6 linked regions of the Nothobranchius furzeri genome follow. The protein of the gene in region 1 interacts with the protein of each later gene in a biochemical or structural test. Links are inferred from orthologs where the notes say so. Each region holds a gene or a part of one and is shown in the gene's direction. Other genes may lie near its edges. The genes, in order: nherf1b, abcc2, TBC1 domain family member 10A, cftr, pdgfrb and abcc4.

What was found.
Region 2: the proteins of nherf1b (region 1) and abcc2 form a complex in vitro, tested with the Homo sapiens proteins (2 studies listed by BioGRID). The link is inferred for Nothobranchius furzeri from reciprocal best matches to the Homo sapiens genes NHERF1 and ABCC2.
Region 3: the proteins of nherf1b (region 1) and TBC1 domain family member 10A form a complex in vitro, tested with the Homo sapiens proteins (2 studies listed by BioGRID and IntAct). The link is inferred for Nothobranchius furzeri from reciprocal best matches to the Homo sapiens genes NHERF1 and TBC1D10A.
Region 4: the proteins of nherf1b (region 1) and cftr form a complex in vitro, tested with the Homo sapiens proteins (9 studies listed by BioGRID and IntAct, with this or other methods). The link is inferred for Nothobranchius furzeri from reciprocal best matches to the Homo sapiens genes NHERF1 and CFTR.
Region 5: the proteins of nherf1b (region 1) and pdgfrb form a complex in vitro, tested with the Homo sapiens proteins (2 studies listed by BioGRID and IntAct, with this or other methods). The link is inferred for Nothobranchius furzeri from reciprocal best matches to the Homo sapiens genes NHERF1 and PDGFRB.
Region 6: the proteins of nherf1b (region 1) and abcc4 form a complex in vitro, tested with the Homo sapiens proteins (3 studies listed by BioGRID and IntAct, with this or other methods). The link is inferred for Nothobranchius furzeri from reciprocal best matches to the Homo sapiens genes NHERF1 and ABCC4.

Annotation. Positions count from the first base shown.
Region 1 is NC_091752.1:50,771,292-50,775,227, forward strand, and holds the start of nherf1b (Na(+)/H(+) exchange regulatory cofactor NHE-RF1), read left to right. Parts: upstream 1-1,136; 5' UTR 1,137-1,276; coding exon 1,277-1,927; intron 1,928-3,936. UniProt on the Homo sapiens protein: Scaffold protein that connects plasma membrane proteins with members of the ezrin/moesin/radixin family and thereby helps to link them to the actin cytoskeleton and to regulate their surface expression. Necessary for recycling of internalized ADRB2.
Region 2 is NC_091752.1:21,701,304-21,704,803, reverse strand, and holds part of abcc2 (ATP-binding cassette sub-family C member 2), read left to right. Parts: intron 1-2,485; coding exon 2,486-2,685; intron 2,686-2,765; coding exon 2,766-2,892; intron 2,893-2,986; coding exon 2,987-3,088; intron 3,089-3,325; coding exon 3,326-3,469; intron 3,470-3,500. UniProt on the Homo sapiens protein: ATP-dependent transporter of the ATP-binding cassette (ABC) family that binds and hydrolyzes ATP to enable active transport of various substrates including many drugs, toxicants and endogenous compound across cell membranes.
Region 3 is NC_091746.1:51,452,372-51,456,400, reverse strand, and holds the start of TBC1 domain family member 10A, read left to right. Parts: upstream 1-1,229; 5' UTR 1,230-1,421; coding exon 1,422-1,588; intron 1,589-3,178; coding exon 3,179-3,278; intron 3,279-3,440; coding exon 3,441-3,548; intron 3,549-4,029.
Region 4 is NC_091744.1:52,976,581-52,980,080, forward strand, and holds part of cftr (cystic fibrosis transmembrane conductance regulator), read left to right. Parts: intron 1-1,883; coding exon 1,884-1,994; intron 1,995-3,500. UniProt on the Homo sapiens protein: Epithelial ion channel that plays an important role in the regulation of epithelial ion and water transport and fluid homeostasis. Mediates the transport of chloride ions across the cell membrane.
Region 5 is NC_091741.1:96,092,751-96,096,250, reverse strand, and holds part of pdgfrb (platelet-derived growth factor receptor beta), read left to right. Parts: intron 1-436; coding exon 437-541; intron 542-788; coding exon 789-899; intron 900-2,697; coding exon 2,698-2,854; intron 2,855-3,076; coding exon 3,077-3,243; intron 3,244-3,500. UniProt on the Homo sapiens protein: Tyrosine-protein kinase that acts as a cell-surface receptor for homodimeric PDGFB and PDGFD and for heterodimers formed by PDGFA and PDGFB, and plays an essential role in the regulation of embryonic development, cell proliferation, survival, differentiation, chemotaxis and migration.
Region 6 is NC_091754.1:57,242,153-57,246,239, forward strand, and holds the start of abcc4 (ATP-binding cassette sub-family C member 4), read left to right. Parts: upstream 1-1,287; 5' UTR 1,288-1,440; coding exon 1,441-1,514; intron 1,515-2,554; coding exon 2,555-2,665; intron 2,666-4,087. UniProt on the Homo sapiens protein: ATP-dependent transporter of the ATP-binding cassette (ABC) family that actively extrudes physiological compounds and xenobiotics from cells.

The DNA of each region.
Region 1 (3,936 bases):
ACAGCTCTCCAGAGTTCATTAATCAAAAGCGTTTGCTATCAAGCACAGGGTCTGTTTCAGGGCTTTGTCACTTTAAGAAAACAAGCTAGAACTGGCCACCCCTGCTCAGGCTGCTATAAGCTGAGAAGCTCCATCTGGATGGGGCTTGGAGTAGAGCCGCTACTCCTCCAGCAATGGGTCTTTCTTGCATGTGAAAGATGGTTTTCGTAATTTTCAAAACAGCTTGTTTTAGGCAAATTATTTCTAAAATCAAACACTGGCAGAAAACGCTCGGAAGGATTTTTTCCACGTTTGGAGTGTTTATAGAGGCAGTAGAGACCACACAGCCTAAAAGGAAGCAAATGGTGAGTTTTTCATAACATGCCCTATAAAGCAGCAGCATCCACCTTTATTCCTGGAACTAGTGGTGCGTTCAGTTTACCTCTGAAGTCTGAATTTGGAACTGGGAATGGTGACACACCTGAGTTAACTGCGTTCTGGTTACTGTAGTCAGCGATGTCAGGATTCCAATATTGGCGACGCACACCTCCCAAGTAGTAATTGTTTGTATACTCCTCTTAATAGCATGGTTTTAAGATTTGCGTTTAACACGCAAACAAAACTTTTAGTATGTTAAGCTTAGAGTTGCAAACACTACATTTAATATTGGTTTTAAACTATGTGTGTTCTGTTAAATAAACACATTTCACCCAAAAGTTACTGTTGTTGATAAGAAGAGCTGCCATTTTTGTTGTCGAGTTCGGAATTCTGAAATTCCTCCGAGTTTCTGACTGCGAGGTCCGACTTTTTTTGGGGGGGGGGGGGGGGGGGGGTTACAATTTTCCAACTAGGAAGTTGGGATTTCCGAGTTCCGAAGATACATCGAACGCACCATCAAACCCTGTTTCTGCTGAGTGAGGCTATTTGCTTTTACACCGAAACCTCAAAATGGCCAGAAACTCCCTTTAGGTATCACAGTAGGATCTGTTAAATGATAACAAACTATAAATAATTATAATAAACTGGTATTTCCACTTGGTGTTCTGTCCCGGTTGGTTTACTCGTCCTTCATGCACCGGTCCCTGAACGCACCTCCTCCTTCCTCAGGGTGAGTTCTGCACGCGGGTCAGGACTCTGGAGCCACCCGGAGGAGGAGGGTTACATCAGAGCGGGACGGGGTTGGGTGTTGTTTTTCACTCATTCTGGCACACCCTCCGTCCTCCCCAGCATCCTGCCCAGAGCCTCCAGTCGTTCCCAGTGAGACCGAGCAACAGGTAGAGCGGCAGCAGCAGCGAACATGCCGAGTAAGAAGCAGCATCTGCGGCCGCGGCTGTGCTCGCTGCTGAAGGGCGACAACGGCTACGGCTTCCACCTGCACGGAGAGAAGGGCAAGACGGGCCAGTTCATCCGCCTGGTGGAGCCGGACAGCCCGGCAGAGTCCTCGGGTCTCCGCGCAGGAGACCGACTCGTTTTCGTCAACGGTGAGGACGTGGAGACCGAGAGCCACCAGCAGGTCGTGTCCCGGATCCGAGCCACGGCGGGCCGACTGGAGCTGCTGGTGGTGGACCCGGACACGGACCTGCTGCTGAAGAAACACAACCTAAAGTGCCTGAAGGAGTTCGTCTCCGATGGTCTCCCGTTACCGTTCGAGGACAACGGAGAGGAGGAGGAGACGCAGGAGGACGAGGAGAAGAAAGACGGAGAGGAGGAGGTGATATTGGTGAAGGAGGACGTAGAGGTGGACGGGACTGAAAACGGGAACGCGAGGCTGGAGGAGGTGAAAGTTCAAGGAGAAGTAGAAGAAGAGGAGGAGGATGAGGTGGTGGTGGTGGAGGAGGAGGAGGAGGAGGAGCAGGCGGAGACACCCAGGGAGCTGACCCCCGTCCCAGAGAGGAACGGGGAGATCCTCGGACACGTGGAGGAGATGCTGAGCATCAGCTCTGAGAAGGTGAGTTGAGTTCTGGAAAAGTTTCATCATGTCCCGTCCTGGTGTCTCTTCCTCTTAGACATGTCCTCCTGAGGAGAATAGGTCCTCAGTGACAAAGACAACCTCAGTCTCATGTCCACAGGTCCACCGATGTGGATCAATGGCCGATACCCAGCTGGTAGAGCTCAGAGGAGCTAGCTCTCTCTAGGTTCTGTGTTTCCTTTTTGTTAATGGCCAAAGAATGAACAAACATGACAGATAACGTTAAAGAGGACGAACGTCAGCTGATCTATTGACCAGGCTGCTGGGTGAGAGGTTCAGGCTCGGGTCTGATGGCCTCAAACAACACCAGAACATTCTGGCCACAGACACATCTGTGTTTATCGTTCTGTCGTCAGCCTGCAGGTTCAGGCTTAGGCAGTGAAAACAAACTACATCAAATAACTAAAGCCTCCACTACAAACAGCAGGAAATAGTCTGGTGTCTTGTTTTATTCCCACTAGTGAGATCCCGTTATGGGATTTGTTTTTCAGCCTTTCATCTTGGAACATTATGGGGTGGGCTTCACTCAGTTGTCTGCTCTTATTTTCTCTGGTCACACTTGTGTGTGTGTGTGTGTGTGTGTGTTTAAATTCATTCAAACCACTTGAGGAAGACGCTCCGGTCAGGGACATCTGTGCCTCTTGCTGCGCCGCCTTGCGTGTTCTGGATGTTTACCCCTGAGGCTGTTTCTGTCTGAGTCCAACACATGTCCTCCCAGTGAGACGGGTAGAAGGAGCGTGTGAGACAGCAGATATCACAAAAGGGCAGAACCAGAACCTGCTGGGCTTCTTTTAAGTGTTTTTATACAATCCTATTTCTGCTTTGGCTTGGTTCACACAGAAAGGTAATCATCCCCACTTTTGATCCTCTCCTTCCATTCTATCTTAAAGACCAAGTTCACTGAGAAACTATTTTTTCTTGTTATTTTTATTTTTAAGATATGATCAGTTGTTCTGAATTTCACTTGCAGGCTGAATGTGAAAACAGTCTTTGCCGTGGAGAGTAAATAGACGAGGAAAGTCTCGTATTAGAAAAGTCAGACTTGGACTCCCCCATCTTGGCTCGTGACAGGGAAGACTTTTGTTGATTCAGGAGAGAGCAGAGCAGGTCTTGGCTAGTAGTAGCTAACCGTTAGCATAAGCAACTCGGCAGCACGGTAGAACTCCTCCAGGCTTGTGTTATTTGTAGAAGAAAAACGTTGCAGAGCAAACAGTCGGTGGAAGAGTCGCGTTGCTCTTAGCCAATCAGAGGTGAGGTGTCCAAAAATCATGAATAACGAGTAAGTCTCCAAATCCTGCCGTTTTATGCCCCCATTCCTCCGACTAACTTCTACTTCCTGAAACTGAAGCGCCAGAGCTTTTTTTCCATTGAGAACGATTCCTAAGGCATTGATTTATACCTCTTTAAAGCTGAGGAGGTCAGAGAGGTCATGATTATCCGTGTTACAGTTGAATTTAGATATTTAGTTACAAATAAGCACTTTTTTGAGTAGGAAGAAAGCAGCTTTTATTAAGTTTTGTTAAAAATTAGTACATACACAAAGCATACATCAAACGTAGACATTTCTGTCATCTTGTTTTCTCTTGACCTTAATGAGCCACTGGCAGCAACTTTAACATTACTTTTAATCTAGTTGCTTTAAACACATATTTATGTTTTTACATGAAAATGGTGACATTTTGCCTAATCTTGTGTTATTACAAAGCTTATGCTGACATTTTGGGTAGTTAGTTACTTTTAAACGCTTCAGAAATTCCTCCAAATATTTCTTAGTTTCTTCCTCAAACAACTTTTTCCTCCTCACCCAACTGTTAAAAGCTCATAAAAAGCAATTTAAGACACAGAAACCGCTGACATTTAGCATTCATCTTTATGAAGTGATGCTTTGAAGTAGAGGGCACTCGCTGCTTCTTCACATCCATCCTTCACAACAACAATGTAATGACAGCTTTAGCTTTTCTCAGTGCGAGCAGCTAGATTTGGAATCA
Region 2 (3,500 bases), about 29 Mb from region 1:
TTTTGTTGAGTTCCACCTCTAAAAATAACATAAAACCTGTTGAAAAATAGCAATGAATAAAACACATTCCATTAACCCTTTGATGCATAATGGTCACTACAGTGGACAGGTACTCAAAATTGTTATTTATTTATTTTTGCTATTAAGCACAGCTGTTGAAGACTTAATTGCATTTGAGCCCCTCCATTTGGACTTCAGTTAGCCAAGCCAACATATTTCATGCTCAGAATGCACGGTGTCCACTGAGGGGGACATGTAATAAATTATTTGTAAATAATAAAATTTTACCAAAAAAATTTGTTGAAATTTGTTTCATTCACACCTAAAGATGAATGAAAAAAATGGTTAAAAAATCATGGTTGAAGATTTCATAATTCATGCATCAAAGGGTTAAAAAAATTCCATTTAAACAAATGTTTAAATGAAGGGAAACCACCACCAAACTGTAAAATATTCATTCAAAACACAAAGCTCTTAAAGAGCAAGTCACCCCCAAATAAACTTTTTTTTGCTGATAAACTATATAAATGTGTGTCTAATCGTGCTGCAGACACGTGTCGTCAATAATTTGGCACTTCAGTGCATCTTGGTCAAAATTTAAATATTCTGCCTAAAACTGGCAGTGTTGTGCCGTTGTCAGGTAAAAACTCTGCACTGTATTTTAATTTAAATCTGCCACCGCTATTGGCTAAGAGGTATGCTATGATGTAAACTGGTGCATTATGATGTCACAATGCTGTCCTGAGCCTGTGTGTGTGTGTGTATTTGTTAGCGGCTCCGCCCTCTCGGTCTGCCTGGCAACAGCATTTGTTGCATTTTTCAAACATGAAGTGGGAGTGGAGTTAGACTCTGGTAGGGGGTGACTTGCTCTTTAAAATTGCCTTTTAGCACTAGGTATGGCTACAAGCAATCCTAATCTGCCCATTAACACATCAAGTTCATTCACCTGCAGCTGAACAGTGATCTGCTCAGAGAAATGGTCCTTGGTCCGAGCTGACATATCTAGCCAGGACTCAACCTCAGAACCTAAATGGCATTATGAGTAAAAAGCCAGATGGTTCTTCTCCATTCTGGTCGAGGGGAAATGGGTGTTCATGCTTTCAGATGACTGCTAGAACGATTTTCCTCTTCGGCTCAATCGATCAGAAACAATTCCAGCAAAAGAAGTATTTTAAAAACAGTGAACAAAACTCCTTTGCCATGTTTTCAAACCACTCTTAGTAAAATAAGATGTGTGCCTTATTGGAAAATATGAATATACAAATGTTTTAAAGATACAGAAATTTTAATCTGTGAATGAGGAATTTTCTCTTTTATTTTTTTTGAAAGAAATAATTAAAATAGTCTTTCGGCCAGAGTCGGAGGTTTCCAGTCCGTGCCGTGAATTCTGTCACATTCATTGCTGCCTGAGGGTCCAATAGCAATGACCAGTCAGTGGTGGTTTTCAGCCTGCATGAAATGCATGTACCTGAATAATATTAGGTTTTGGTGCTAATTAATTTATATCTATTGCTAAACAGTATGAAAATGCACATATAAATCACTGCACATAAAATATAAATTAAATGTTTTTTGCTCCCTTTGGAAAAGGAGTTTTTAGTTTCAGCAGCTGTACATTTGTACTTTTTATTTGGATTTAAACAGATTTAGAAATCATCTAAATATGGCTGTTATTTATGAACAGTTGAAGTTTGTCTCAACTACACAGTAAAACCCAATTAGTTAGCCATCTAGAAAAAACGCCTGCAAATGGATTGCACTTAAAATAAAAAGTACACGGGTGTAGGTAGTTATGTGTTGGAGCCACACATGTTTACCACGTAAAATGCATTTAAAAGCTAATTACTATAAACAAGACACACCAGTACAAAGTACTTATTAATTTCCTTACTGTTTACTACTGCTCAAATATATGATACTCAGAAATACTAGTTCAGTAAGCTAATTTCCAAGTGGCTCAAACACGTGTAACTTTTTCATATTTTTAAATCATTTTCTTGAGCCAGTGTGCGTTAAAATGACCTTTTACAGGGTTAATGCAATAAAGACCCCCACCGCCTTCTGTGACCAGAATATCACTTGCAACTTCAGAGTGCCGGTCCAGTCCCTGCTGGACTTAGTAAAGTGGCGCTTACATACCTGGCATTGAAGTTTTCATCCAGCACATTTCCTACATGTTTTAGATGAACACAGCTGACTTGTTTGACTTGGTGATGACCCACTCCTGTAGAAATTAATGAAGGCTGGGGAGACATTTCAGTAGTAAGATGAAGGAGTTAAAAAGATTAACACACAGCAAGGAGATACGTTTCACTTTTGGTTTTCTAACAGACACTAAGGGGTGCCACAATGCAAACCAAAACTGTGTCGTATTCCTTTTAAGTGCAATTAGTTTGCTTTTTCTTTTTAAGTTAGGGTATCTAATCAGATGTCTACAGTGTTAATAATAAATCTTTTTCCATATTGCATTTTTTTCCCCTCTCAGAGGTTCTACGTAGCGACTTCTCGACAGCTGCGTCGTCTGGACTCCGTGTCTCGCTCTCCTATATACTCCCACTTTGGTGAAACCGTGTCTGGCCTGTCTGTGATCAGAGCCTACAAACACCAGGAAAGGTTCCTTAAACACAATGAAATCACTATTGATGAAAATCTCAAAAGCGTCTACCCATGGATCGTATCAAACAGGTCAGTTCAAGTACCTCCAAATGCATTTAGACAACATTAGATTGATTTATGTTAACGTCTCTGTGATATTTACTCAACAGATGGTTGGCCATTCGTCTGGAGTCTCTAGGAAATCTCGTGGTATTTTTTGCTGCTCTGTTTGCAGTCATCTCCAGAGAGACCATTGACAGTGGCCTGGTTGGCCTGTCTATATCATACGCTCTCAACGTGAGTCACACACACACACACAAACGATTGTTGTGTCTTTCAACAAAAATAAAATTTATCAAGTTAACCAACGTTTCCTGTTCCGACGTTTCAGGTAACGCAGACCCTGAACTGGCTGGTGAGGATGACCTCAGAGCTGGAGACAAATATTGTAGCCGTGGAGAGAGTGAGTGAATATTGCGAAATTGAAAATGAGGTATGTTTGCCACTTCCTTCTGTTTTACACAAAGATGCTGTTTTTCACTGGTTCATTTAATGGTTTTTGGCTAAACATTTGAAGGCATCCTTAGGTAAATTTTTTTTTTAGATTTGTTACTTAATTTTTGTTTGTCTCGCTATTGTTATAATATTCAGTTTGACATTTGCATTCAACACAAACATAGTTCAAATGAAAACAGCATCTTTCAATCTATTAATTCCTCTTATTCTGCAGGCTGAGTGGGTGGCTCAACATCGACCTCCAGAGAATTGGCCACAGGCTGGAAGGCTGCAGTTTATAGACTACAAGGTCCGCTACCGACCAGAATTAGACCTTGTACTCAAGGGAATCACCTGTGACATAACCAGCAGTGAGAAGGTTTGTGTGTGTGTGTGTGTGTGTGTGTGTG
Region 3 (4,029 bases), on another chromosome or scaffold:
TGTTTTGTCTTCTGGACGGACCAGGTTCTGTCTGAGGGTGTTGTTGGGTTTAAAGTTTACCGGGATGTTGTGTTTGGAGAAGATTCTTCTAAGTTTCACTGAGAATCCTGCCACGTATGTGATGATGGTGCCTTTGCCCAAAGGAAGTTGTTGTTAGGTTGGTAGCAGAGCTTTCATGTTTAGTGTTAAGTTCAGTGAGATCATGGAATGGGATCAAGAATTTTCTACTGACAGGAAAAAGATCTCAGCTAACATAGCTGTAGATCACACTGGATAACTCTCTGTGGTGCATTTATTTTACATTTATTTTACTACCTCTTACTAGAGCTGTCTTTAGTAGACGCAAAATATACTTGGATGTACACCTGTGCAATAGCAATAAAGTATCTTGAATCTTGATTTCTGTTAAATGTACTTCCTGAATGAGTGACCTTTTCAGGCTAAAATAACAAATTGACAAATACAGACAGAAGGATGAATTCTTTCTTCTTTTGTAATGCATTGCATCACCATCTGGTATCAGAACAGGTATTGGAAGATAATCAAAAATCAAACAACTTGGACTCGGATCAGGGGCAAAAATGTGGTTGTAACATCTCTAGATATGTCAGCTTTAAAAACTAAAACTATTATTTATGAACTAACATTAACACTAATGATACTAATTGGTATATTTTTATTATGTTGTTTGAACCCAAGGGTCTCATTATCTGAATTTTCTAACTTGTTGGATTGCTCTATAAGGGCCCCTTTTTTTTTTACTTTGAGCACCCGCCCCGTCAAAGGTCTCTGCACGGCCCTGGTTTCCAGTATTTGTGTATTTTTTACCTTTACACGTGTGTTAATTTCGTTTTTTTTCTTTTTCTTTTTTTTCTGCTTTGCTTTGTTAGTTTTATCAATAAAGTTAATTGAGAAGAAATTTCTTTTGATTTTTTTTTACACGTAAAGCAGATGACTTCCGGTAGGTGGCAGAAGAGGGTTGGGTTAAATGAGATTCCAAGGATGTTTTGTTTATTAACCAGTCAGGCAGATTCTCTTCCTTAGCCTGCAGCTAATCTGCATTCCTGCTGACAGAAGAGATTCTCGGTAGAAAGTGTTTGTCGGTCAGCTGACAGCTGTGAGATAGTAGCATGTTACCGTCGGAGTTAGCGTGCAGACACCGAGCTAATTCAACGGTAAAACCAATCGCTCTATTTGAATCTAGCGGGCTAGTCTTTTTGCGTAAGCGAAACATTTATTTCTATAGCGAAGCAAGGACATTTTACCAAAACGTGCCCCCAAGGTGGCTGTTTTAGCATCAATGTGCGAGTAGCTAAGTAATTGTTTCTCATAGCAACTAGCTAGCTGTCACCAGCGGGAGTCTGATGGAGAACTCGTTCTAAAGTTTGAAGACATCTTCTGCTGCTGCCGATGTCGATTAAATGGCAGAAGCCGAGCAGGACGATGGGCTCGAAATCGGTGGCAGCACGGAGAAGTTGACGGATGGAGAGAAAGGAACTTCTCGTGGATCAAACAACTCCTTTACCGGGGACACACAGGTGGACAAGTATGGGTTCTTAGGAGGAGCTCAGCAGAGCGCCACAGAAGAGTAAGGGTGATGTTTCAAATGCAGCTTCTGATTTCTGGTAGATATGGGAAAATGTGAAAAAAATTTCTTAATGGTCATTGTGTGTTGTCAAAGATAATCAGATTTATGTGGTAAATAAAAAAAAACATATGGGAGGATTTCCTGAAGTTACGTGTAAGTGTTGGTTACGGCCGAAAGCAAGTACACTCACCCCTCCCTCACCGGTTTTCCTTTATTCTAGCAGCTAAACTAACACGAAAACTGTCCTCATTTAGTCAAAAGTGTGCTCTTGTTTCAGTTATTCAAAAATTTTATCCTAGTCATGTCCCAATCCTGCCAGGGCCATCTGTCTCCACTAGTGATTTGTTTGAGTTTTATCCTTTTCAAATGGGACAGAGCCCGTTTCCACCCGAACTCGGATAAACCCCAGATTAAACTAGCCTGTGTTTCAAACATCACCAACCCAACAGTAAAACAACTTCCTGTTTACTTTCACTCCAAGAGTTTCCTTATACCTTGGTTAATGTAGATCTATGGTTGCTCCGCATCAGAGTAACTAGCGTGAGATAATCACATGATCCACCAGCATTTGCCTCACCTTAACCACTATATGTTATTGTGGACAGGTTTCAGCTCCAGACTGTCATCGGTGTAAACTGGAACAACACGAGTCCAGGAGTTACACTCACTGATAACACTCCCACCAAGTCTTCCTCATAGTCCGATGTTGAGAATTGGAAGAATGTGTGACTGTTGAGAATGATGTCAAAGATTTAGGGTTTGGTGACTAACCAGTGTTTGATCTAAATGGATCAAAATAATTTCTGTTCAACTTGAGTATGATGGATCAAACTCAGTTTGTGAATTTGACCGTTTATAAAATCAGTGAGACCCCCCACCCCCCCATTGTGGTTCTTCATGAAACATCATGGAGATGATCTTCAGGAATCAAAACTTTTTTTATGCTTTCAATGGAAGAGATCAAACCAGTAGCTGTGTTTTCATTATGATTTAGTTATTCACTTTTTCATGGGTTATAATCTGGAATGTTTGCAGCCCCTGTGCTAAAAGATCAAGGATATCCATTCTTGTAGAGCCTGAAAGGTGGCATTTATGGGATGTTCAGCTGTTTGAAACGAAACCGCAAATCCTCCCGTCAAACCAGCGATCTATATGTAGCGTCTCTGTTCTGCGTTGTTCTTCTGACTTTATTGGCTTTCACCTGTTAAATGTGCTTGTGGTTTAGAGACACCGATGTTGTCCGGAACTATTCTGGTGATCCGATTAGAGCATACTGCTCAGCAGGTTTGTGTTTTGTTCATGTTCGGAAGACATCTCGTATTCTCCTCAGCGCCGTTGGGCGGTGAGGTGTCTTTATAAAGGCTACAGTGAATTAGACTGGGGTAAACGTCCCCCACAGCTTCCTGTTTCCCTTCCGATGGCGAATGTTCAGCTGCTTCGCTTGAGGAAAGTTTCCTGAACGTACAAAGAAGAGACGAGCTGCTTCTCCGCTCCCTCTGAGCAAAAGTGTCTCCTGTCGAACTTTTTAGGAGAGGACGGCGGGACTCTGTTTGACTACTCATACCAGCTTTGTTGTGTTTTCCCTCTCAGGGCGGAGGAGATCCCCTCTGATGTGCTGAGGCAGCGGGAGTTGAAATGGCTGGAGATGTTAAAAAGCTGGGACAAGTGGATGGCCAAAAAACACAAGAAGGTCTGATTTATGTGATGCTTTTACTGATTTGTAATTCCTCCTTAAAGAGGTTCAAGCTGTGGTTTAAAAAGCATGAATTCACACAATCATATCAGATTTGAAGCTCATTTTATTCAGGATTTTATTAAATCCTGCAGTAACTGTGTGTTTGTTGAATAAAAGGTGAAAGAGCGTTGCCAGAAAGGAATTCCTCCATCCCTGCGGGGTCGGGCCTGGCTCTACCTCACTGGAGGGAAAGCAAAAAAGGAGCAAAACAGGAGCAAGTTTGAGGTCAGTTTGAGAATCCTGGTTCCTCTTGAGTCCCAATCATGATGGGTTTACTGTAGTAAATGTTTGTGATGGGACAGCTGTTGCTTTTTCTATCGATATCTGGGAGAACTTAGGTATTCACAACGTACTTCTACACAATAGACGGCTATAGATTAGAAGTTTGACCCTCCCATAACCCAGTCAGATTTGACAAAACTCCTCAGATTAGAAGCGAAGCATCTTCAAGAAACCAAAGACGTCCAGTTGCCTTCATTTGAATCCTTTTGGATCACTTATATAAACTTTTTGCATGTTCAAATATCAAAATAAAAGCTTTAACATTTTGTATTTAAATTACAAACTCAGAGTGACCGATTATAATCAGAAATAATCATTAAAACTGTTTTTTTTTTCAGTCTTCATCACCTTTAAGTTCTAGATCCCAGTTTAATAGATAGAAAATGTGAAAAATTGGTTAAAAAAAAACTAAAATAGTGTCTTA
Region 4 (3,500 bases), on another chromosome or scaffold:
GATCGTGGTAATAATGGCGCACACCGTTGCACCGAGCAACTGGCAGCGGATGTCTCATGATATAACTATCCCCGTGTCACTGAAGGAAATTCAGATAAGACACAGAGTTGTGTGTTAATGGAACAGTAGATCAAACTCAAGCTGACTTTATTTGCTAAATGCAAGAGCCAAAGTGCCTGACGGCTGTGAGATTGCAGGATGACGCCTGCACCGTCACGAGTAGAAGCGTGAATCTGCAGCAGCAGCAGGTGTAAATCGGCAGTCTGCAGCTCTGCAGCAGCTTTCTCATTAGACCAGCCAATAAAGGTTTATGTTCTTGTGCACAAGCGCAGATAATCATTCTCTTTTCTTGCTACTGGAAGAACGGGTCAGAGCGCAAATGATTTCTTTGTTGCTAAACTGCCGAAAATGTCTACAAGTAAGTTCTACAGAAAGTAGCAAAGGGTCCTCAGAAATGTTACTAGATTTGTCACTAGGCGCTAGGGCTGGGCGATATGGCCTCAAATCTATATTGCGATATAATCTGAAGCATGTGCGGTAACGATATATATTGCGATATATTGCTATATATATTGCTTTTAAATATCCTCATGTGGCAAATATATGCCACTTGAGGCATATAGGCCTCCTCCTCCACCCACTCCATGCTTGCAGTCACTGCCATTCTGTTGACCCAATGTCAGCAGGGTGCACATCTTAAGCTGTTTTTACAGGACCATAGCGTTTTTTAAAACGGGATTTGCCACGGCACCCTGGGGAGGGTTTTGGCATTTATAGTAGCAAAGCTGAAGCTAGAATAAACTGCCATCAGGCACCTCTCCAACCAAGACGGGATATAGCGAGGTCGCTGCCCCCCCCCCCCCCCCCCCCCCCCCCCCCCCCCCCCCGCATGTGATGTACAGGGTCGCGCATTCAGCGTCAGACGGAAGACAAGTCAGACTGATGAAATTTCTTTTTCAGGACGTTTAGCTTTGATGTGACCTGCTTTTTGACTCCTGCTCAGCCAGTGTTTTCACCGCTTTGTCCAATAGCTGGCTGTCTCTCACCGTCCCCGTAAAAAGGCGACTAATCTGTTCGTCCGCTCGCACGGCCAAAAGCTCCATGGTCTCCATGGCTTTCCTTCCGGCCTGCACCCGGCGCACAGTACACGTGACTAACGTGACCACCCTCTTTTGCGGGGGGGGGGGCTCCCACAGTCGCTCCAGAGGGATTACCGGGGCTGACACGCGTTTAGCTGTCAGAGGCAAGGGCCTGATGCGGCAATATTACTACCAAGCGAGGCGGAACGAATGCCGCAATATTTGCGCAACACATTTATAGACATACCATTGCGGTAATATTACGCCGATATGCCGGCATGGTGTGTCCTATAAAAGCACCTTTAGTGACGTCATGTGTTGTTGCGATATCGCGATATAGCCAAAAACGTTATTATTACCCAATTTTATATCGTTTCTACCTTATATCGTTTCTATTGCCCACCCCTACTAGGCGCTAGGAACAGTGACAAAGTTGCTGAGTTGGCAACACTGCCTCTTGCTAAGCTACAGATAGCAAACGCTACGGGCATGACGTCATCACGTATTACGCTGCCTCTGGAAGGCACTGGGGAAGCAGGCTTTATTTCTGCGTTTTTACAGGAAAACAGAGGCAATCACAGTCAAAATGCCAGGGATCATTCTACAGGACCAGGGCACTGCAGGAGAATGTATGAGAAAGAAATTTAAAATTTCTATACATGTATTGGTTGTTAAATTTCCTTAAAATCCCTTTAAATCCATATTTATTCAGTCATGTTTTAGTGCTGGTTGAGCAATGCCTCTTATCTTTTAGCCTTAAACGAGCGATAACAACAACCTGGTTGATGTGTGATTTTCACACAGGTGGATTTCCCCACTGCTGAGGAAGGGCTTCACTAAAAAGTTGGATCTGAACGATGTCTACAAGGCTCCATCTTTTGATCTGGCAGACACCCTCTCTGAGAGGCTGGAAAGGTGTGTGTCTCCCCGCCTGCTGGTTTTATCTCTAACAAACAACCTTTGTTGATACGTTTTATCCTTCTGACTTGCTCCAAACTGCTTCATTCCTACCAAACCAATACTGTGTTACTTTTTCCTCTTTTGTTCCTGTTTACTTGTTTACAGATCAGTCATTGTTAGATTAGGACTAGTTAGATTAGTATTTATGTTGCTGATTAGGACTGAATAAGTTGGGACATTATTTTTGATTCTTTTCAGGTGAAAACACACCATTAATGCCTATACAATAGTAAATAATGCCACAAACACACATACATTGGGTTTATTAATCCATTTTCTATTATTCTGTAATTGTTTCTTTAACCTTTTTACCAGTTTTCTGAATATGGAAAACCGAAAATATCCCAATTTCACATTTTAAGGAGACTGAAGACACCAGTTCATATCAGCTGGTGGCAGAGTTGTGCTGTTTGTAAAATTATAAATTAAGAGACCAAAATGACTTATATTACAACAGAATCAATGTGAAGTACGATAAAACTGTCATGTATCTGGTATAAGTTAGTGCATTTACTATTCTCCTCCACCTCTTCATGTGGTCGCCACCTCTAAACCCACGTTTAGAAAAAAACCCGCTTATCTTTTCACTCCTCTAGTCACGGGGTGAATAAAAGTTCATATTTTTAGAGTTTTTCCACGAGGTATTCTTCAAGCTTCCCCATGTCTGCCGCTAGATATCTTCAGCCCTCTTTATGTTTTTGAGAGAGTAATGGCGGTGCTGTCGACGACAACGGCGTCCTGACCAATCACAAACTTGCATTCTCCGTCTTATTGGGCGGATGTTTAGAAAAGAGAGCTCAACTCCATCTGTCCTTGCGAGCCTGTTGGAGAGCCCTCAGAAGGATGGATAATGGCGTTGCATGCCAAGTATAAATTAGGCTTAAAAGTCTTGCCAACAGCAGCGTTCTCTTACAGGACCTTGGATCGAACCTACAACCTTCTGATTACGGAACAACCGCTCTACACCTTGAGCTCCTGCACACAGCTTCTCAGTTCTTCGGATTTATTTGGCTCCACACCTAAAAGGTGTTCAACCCTCTGGAGGCAGGAGATGCAGATTTGCACATTAAAACCTACCTACCTGGTTACTCCACATACATATTTCATGAGCATTTTTTAACTCAGAAGTACCCCTGAAGACTTAGTTGTTCCTCATTTTATCAAAACTTATTTAGAGCCTGAGAGGGTTAAAAAGGCTTTTGGTTTCTGACAGGATGGAGCATTAACGTGGTTTTCGTCCTGGCCGTGGAACACTGGACCAGCTATGCTTTAGGGGGGTGCTGGAGGGTGCGTGGATGTTTGCCCAACCAATCTACGTGTGTTTTGTGGACTTGGAGAAGGCGTTTGAACGCGTCCCTTGGGAGGCCCTGTGGGAGGTACTCCGGGAGTATGAAGTACCAGGTTCTCCGATACGGGCTGTTAGTTCCCTGTATTACCAGTGTCAGAGCTTGGTCCCTATTA
Region 5 (3,500 bases), on another chromosome or scaffold:
TGTTATTGGGTAAAGGGTCGATGGTTCCTATAATCGATCAGTTGTGGTTTATTTCTGAGTGTCTGACTCTGAGCAGGCTCTTATCCGTCACCCAGATGAGGACAAACTGTTTAAACTGGATCCATCCCCATGAGGCTTTTGTACTGCGAGTGGTTGGTTGTCTGCACACGGAATCCCTAATGAATACTTTTTAAACTGGACTCAGTCCCAGTTTAGCTAAAAGCTCCTTTTCATGCGTTTTGTTATTTTCTCTCATACAAACTGTCTCGAAGCTCTTGACATATTTATTTTCTGAATCTGCCAAAGCAAGTTTTTATATTAGTGTCCTTCAAAATAATAAGTCGAATCCCTCTCACTTATGTTCTAATGGGGAGAAGTGTTTGCTTCTTTCTCAGATTTCACACCGTGTCCCACTGAGGCCCTCTTTGTGTTTCAGGTCGAACTCTTGGATCAGGAGCTTTTGGCAGGGTGGTCGAGGCTACTGCATACGGTCTCACACATTCCCAGTCCAGCACAAAGGTGGCTGTGAAAATGCTGAAATGTAAGAAACACAATGTACAATAAAAGCTTCACATGCAAGATATCAGGCAACAGCAGCCTCCTGCACGCTCTCTGACACTGTCTCCCAGCAGCAGCCTGCTGAGCTTCAGCTGGTCTGACAGCCTGATTCAAGTTTCTTTTGACGTTTTCTGGCAGGAACACCGTTTTTCTCCTGCTCGCTGTACTCGTGTTGCTGTTCTCACATCACGTTCAGGTTAACACGTGTTCTTTCCTCTGCCCTCGTCCAGCTACAGCCAGGAGGAGTGAGACTCAGGCTCTGATGTCAGAGCTGAAGATCATGAGTCACCTCGGTCCTCACCTCAACATCGTCAACCTGCTGGGGGCGTGCACCAAACACGGTGGGCATCACACGAAGCTTTCCCACCAACACACACACACACACACACACACACACACACACACACACACACACACACACACACACACACACACACACACACACACGTGGTTCACGTAAAAATATATATTAAAAATTACAGCAAAGATTACTCTGTAGCAATTATTTCTGCATTTTCCTGTTTGTTCAGTAGGTTGAAATGATAAATATTTCTGTTACATTTGGATGAAAAATCCACTAAATTTGATTGATAACTGGTTAAAGATGACTTTTCCGGCACATTTTCTTCTCATCTGATTAAACCGCATTGATCGTATTTGCACTAAGTGAATAATTGTGTAAACAAGAAAGTTATGATTTCTTGTAAGAAATGGAAACAACCGTGTTACAGAGATGAAATTATAAAAATAATAGAAATGTTGATGTTTTAACACTGGACACCATGTTAACACAGCCAATGTGAACTCACTGATTTATGTTTCATTATACTAACGGTAAGCACAGCACTCCTAAGTGAAATGTTACAGCCAAATCAAATGTTTTGGCTCATTAATTTGTAGCTTAGGAAGAAAGATTGTTGGATCCGATTAGCAGGGCACATCTTGCCCTCCATAAAGTAGCTGATGGAATTACTGAACCCTTTTCATACATTAATGATCAGCTCCTGTTGAGACCCCAACCAGACTTTCCCTAATTCTATAACATCCTCACCTCTGCCAAGAAGGAACAATCATTCCTTCATAACTCATTCCATGAGACCGTTACTTGCTAACCGTTAGCATTAGCAACTCCCCAACACAGCAGAACTCCTTCAGGCTTGTGTTTTTTACGGAGATTAAACATAACTTTGCAAAGCGAGCAGAGTCAGTGGAAGAGTTGCATTGCTGTTAGCCAATCAGAGGTGAGATATTTCAATATCATGAATAATAATGAGTAAGACTCCAAATATTACTGTTTTCTGCCCCCCTTTCTTCTGGCTCTGCTTCCTGAAACAGGAGTGCCAGAACTTTTTTCCACAGATAAGAACTCACAAGGCAGTTCTCCCTGTAGGGGGTAGAGTTAATGATTTTTTGTCAGAAAACTATATTAAAAATAAAATTTCCATATGTGCATGTTATGTTTTTAAAGTGACAGTGTGTATTTCCCCTTTTGATAGAGGGCAGTACATACCTAAATTACTGCAAGCAAGCAGTATTTTTGTGTTTGAGTAAGACCTTACCAACGGATGGCCATTAGGGTCAAAAATCCCTGGGAGCTCAACCTCCAGCAAAATAACAAGAACATCAAACTCCCTTTCATCACTGGCAACAATGAAGAGTTAACCCTTTCAGGCTCAAAATACGTTTTGATAAAAGGACAAACAACTAAGTCCCTCGGGGGTACTTCTGAGTTTAAAAATGCTCATTAAATACATATGTGGAGTAACCAGGTAGGTAGGTTTTAACGTTGCAAATCTGCAACGCCTGCCTCCAGAGGGTTAAGGTGTAAAACAACAATGTTTATGAATGGTGAAAGATTTGTAACCGCTTGATACAAATCAGTAAATGCATTTTGTCCTCACAGGCTCCCGTAGAAGGAAACATGGCACCTATTATGGTGTCGCCCAGAGACTTAGACCCGCTCTCGTGTATTTTAGACCAGATTTTTATGATTATATGTTACAAAGCCGCCAATATTTTTCAACAGTCGGGCGTCATTTAATTCATTTTCAACAACATTTTGAGGGATATTTCCAGAGATTAACAGTATTTGCAACATTTAGCTTGTCTTTAAATCCTTATCCTTCATGTTTGATTTAGGCCCCCTTTACCTGATTACCGAGTACTGTCGCTATGGTGACCTGGTGGACTACCTGCACAGGAACAAGCACACCTTCTTGCAGTACTACGCTGAAAAGAACCAGGAGGATGGTTGCCTCATATCAAGAGGAAGCACCCCTCTCAGTCAGAGAAAAGGGTGAGATGAGTGAGGAAAATGCATTCAGAGCTGCACAAAGGAACATTTTATAGAAAATGGAGGACTTTTTCCGAGAAATCTTTGCCTTTGTTTTCAAAAAGTTCTGTTTAACTGATTGTTACAGATGCTTCATGTGATCAGCAACTACAAAAGGCTCGTTTGGATCTGGGTCAGTCGGGTGTTTTTTGATTATTATTTTCACACTTTAACGTATTTTTGCAGCTATGTGTCCTTTGGAAGTGAGAGTGATGGAGGATACATGGACATGAGCAAAGACGAGCCTTTGGTCTACGTGCCCATGCAGGAACAATTAGACTCCATCAAATATGCGGACATCCAGCCATCCCCGTACGAATCGCCCTACCAGCAGGACTTCTATCAGCAACAAGGTTCGACTTGACGCTGTCAGAGAAATCCGTTAGGATTATTGGCATGTGAGGATTTTGCAGATTTGCAAAATGAGGAATAATGAGAAAAACCAAACATTAGATCGAAAAGTGTGAAATGATGATGTGATTTAGCACAGTAACCATTTAGCTTTGTCTGACTAAACCTACTAATTCTGCACACTAAGAGAAAACAATTGGGAATGAAAACGGATGGTTTCAATTCAGAGATTTGCTAATAAAATATTAATAGTTTTGTT
Region 6 (4,087 bases), on another chromosome or scaffold:
ATTGGTTTAGATAAATTTCATGATCAGGATCTGTCAGTAAATTTGTCTAAAATTGTTCCAGTCCTCTGTTTATATGATTAACTCTTTAAAGGGGCCAGTGTCTAATAGATACTTCCACTCACGTCATAAATGCTGTCAGTATGCCTTTTTACAAACTCTTAGAGTTACAGTATTTCACCCAAACAATCATCAGAAATCAAACTTGTCATGGTTTGCGCCATGGCACCATTCCACCAATCAGTGCGGGGCTATAACGCGCTAAATATTGGTGTCTGCAGAGCCAGAAAACTTCTCCTCTCGTGTTTATGGTCAGAACGCTAAAACTAACAATGTTCATGAAACTCTCACGTCACAAGGTTGACTAGTTGTGCTAAATAAGGATATATGTGTTGTAAATGTTAAACCCAATGAAATTGGTGAAATCATCGAATAAAAATCAAATCTGCCATATTTGAACATACGCCCTGAACAAGTAAAAGAAGTTATGAATATTTTTAGATAAAATTGTTGTTTTTTTAGACAAAATCTTCATAGTAACAGGAACAATTATGATATTGAATATATTTGCAGTTTTAAACTAAGATTTCTCTTGGAAATGGAGGACAGGTATTGTGCCAACCAATCTCACCATCAGTGATGATGATGATGAACAGGAGGAAGATGACAGATCCTGAAATATAAAATATTCTAAAATAATATAATAATCTATATTTGATTAGAAATAGTATCTATTGTTCAATAACGTTTCTAAAATATTCTACAGTTATCAGGTTTCATTAAAAAATTCTATAGTAATTCTGATATAATGTGTATTAGTAAAGAGTCATATGTTTTAAAATTAGTTAGATTATTCTAAAGTGTCTTATAATTATCTATATTATTCAAAAATAAAAACTTGTTCATGTTTTTTATTTTTGGGATTTCTTATTCTAGAACAGGACCAACGTCCATATTTAATCACCGTCTGAATTTCTGCTTGAAAATAAGTATTTTTGAAAATTGTAACAACAGAAGTGTACTTTTATTGAAAAATACAATTTTATTGAAAATTTAAAAGTTTAAATTCTTCAATGGGTGCCCAATAAAGGATTAATAGATAATTAATTAGATCGCATGGAGCACATTCTACACCCGTAAAATCGCAGGCCAATCGCGTGAGAGCATTGTAAACACTCAGCCAATAGAATAGTTCCTCTTATTTTATTAGCCAATCATATTTGCTTAGGGCGGGACCTGGAAGTGTTTCTATTTCCTTTTTTTTTATTTCTGCATGTAATAACGGCTTGCGTGTCTTGACGTGTTATGTAATCCACCGTACAGTAGCAGGACCCTCCTGTAACATGTGCGTACTACAAAGTTGCGCCACTTAGCCGGAGGCAGCTTTTAAAGGAGGAGAAAGTTAAGGGAGGTGGAGTACTGTGTGGAAGCCGGCCGGCAACCATGGAGAAAGTCAGCAGAGATGCGAAGACCAACCCGGCAGCGACGGCGAACCTCCTGTCGAAGGTGTTTTTCTGGTAGGTCAAATAGTACCCGGCGTGCGCGAGACGCTGCTAGCGTAGCGGGGAGTTCAAACGTGTCTCTGCTCACTTTTACTGTGTTTACATACTTTTGTCATAAGTAAAAGTATTCAAACGGAAGTGCTGCTGTGACAAAGCATGGGCTCAGCAGCAGTTCGATTTAAAACGTCTTTTAGCGGAGTTTATTCTCACTTTTGTTAGTTTTTTGACCCGTTTTGTTTTTATTATTACCTGTTAGCTTAGTGGCACCAGCTACAGGACACCTGGCCGTCGTGTCATCACACGCGCCAGCTCCTGAAACCGGAAAACCGTAAGCGCCAGGTGTTTTGAATTTAGACGATACTGCGTTTGATTCGGTTCTGTTCCAGGGGTCTCGGTTATTTACGTTTCCCAGGGAGAAAAGTGACGTTGTGCACAAGCTAAACACTCCCAAAAAGACTTAAATGATCTGAGGCCGTGACGCAGAAGTTAAATGTGACTCAAAAGGATTACACCAAGATATAACAATGAAAAAATCAAAGGAGTACAAATGAAAATCCTGCTAAAATATGCGCGTGAGGCCTCAGATTAAGTGTGATTGAGTTATTAAGGGTGACATAAATCTGTGTAAGTGGAAAACTGAGTTTACAGTATTTATTTATACTCATAAATGTTCAAATCTGTTGTTTTCGGGGATGCTGATTGGTCAGAAACAGCAAGTCTAAAAGTTTGTCTTGAATTAAAACTAGATTTTCTTGCAGAGATGTTGTTTGGATACTAATTGAGCCCGGTCCACTTGCTTACTACTATATTTACTGTTTATTCCAATGAGCTGAAAATGGCAGAAAAACTTGAATACCATAAAGATTTTTGTGTAAAACGTTGGTTCAAACTGTCCTCTCGAGGTTCATGGTGAATGTGTCAGGTGTCATTAGGCTCCTTAATGAAAAAGGGAAGTGTGTGGGATCAGACTAGAGCTGGATCATAACTGGTGACTTCCTGAATGGGATGAACTGGATCGCTCTGGCCCCCTGACTGGTCTGTTCTTCTCCTGTCAGGTGGCTGAATCCTCTCTTTAGAACGGGCTACAAACGCAGGCTGGAGGAGGATGACATGTTCGAGGTGCTCTCGGAGGACAAGTCGGAGTACGTGGGACAGGAGTTACAGAGGTGAGCGTGCTGCTTTATCTCCTAAATGTTGGACAGGTTACAGATTTGTTCTTATTGGTGATAAATGGAAGACAAGTGTGACCAGATCGATAAGCTAACAGATAGTGACTGTGGATTCCTGCTGCCTTGAAACAGCGCGGCGGTAGCAGTCTACTCCACGGTTCTCATGGGGATGGACATTTCCCATTTTCCAAACAGCGGCTTTTATGATCCCTTTAATCTGAGGCTAACAGGATACGCGTGGTTTAATTGTACTCGTTGTTTTCTTAAAACTGTGACTGAGCTTTTAGGAACTGACAGCTGATTGGAACCAGATCTGTTAGAAGCAAGCTGGACGAACGGTGATGATCGTCGTTAGTTTAGTTGAACTTTGTTGGTAAACAAACAAAAGCGAGTCTCTTCTCTCCCGTGCTGATAGATCCACACCTTGGTTCCAGTCTGCACCGCTACCCTTCTGCCCTCTCTGGTCTGAGGAGGCCGTTTGTTCTTTATTTTGAAATGTAAATTTCTCAGTGATTTAACGGGTTTTAGTGCTGCTCTGAAGGCAGCTTTCTTCTTTCTCACTTCCTTTTAAAGGATAAGGAGCCAGTAGCTGTGTAACTACTGTCTCGCAGATTTTTTTATCTCCAACAACACAAGCGGCTCTGTTTATTTCTGAGGAACTCCCAGAGGAAAAACCAGAACCATAAACGATGCACAACACCACACATGTTGATCTTTTTAACTCTTATCTGGCAGTTTGGATCCAGCCTTTTAAGGAGACTAATCAGGACATCACAACTCTGATCGCTTGTTTGTAAATAAATATCTAACTGGTGCTTGAGCTCACACTAACGGAGGAGTCGGGCCAGCAGAGACGTCGCTTTAAAGTGAGCCAGGACACTTCATCTTTATTTGACAGATTAGAGAAGGTACAGGTGTATCAGTGAGGGCTGCATTCCACTTCTGTAGCTGTGCATGCTGGTAAAACGACCAGCAGAGCTCCCTGTACTTGGAATGCAGCCCTTGTTGCCATGGCAAGGGGAAAGAAATGTAAAAGAGTTAATTTACTTCTAATTAAGGACCCGTAAGATGTAAGATTCCATAGTAAATATGAAATCAACCTTACGGACAGTTGGGTTATTTTAACCAGAAGATTGGAACTTTTGATTGCAGGGATTATGTAACACTTGTATTAAGTGAGAGACGAGAGAGTCACCTTTAAAACGTTTAAGAAGATTTATTTCTAAACAATTTTAAAGAATTTTAAACAAGACTAACTCTAAGTGATGAATGGATCTGGTGTGAATGAGACGTGAGATGAATGGTGTATGTGTGAGTGATGTAATCAGAACTCTCATATCTGGAGAAGCAAGTCTGAATGATGTTGTGATGTTTTGCTTTTAGCTATGATCAGAGTTTGATCGGAGTTTCATAAACACG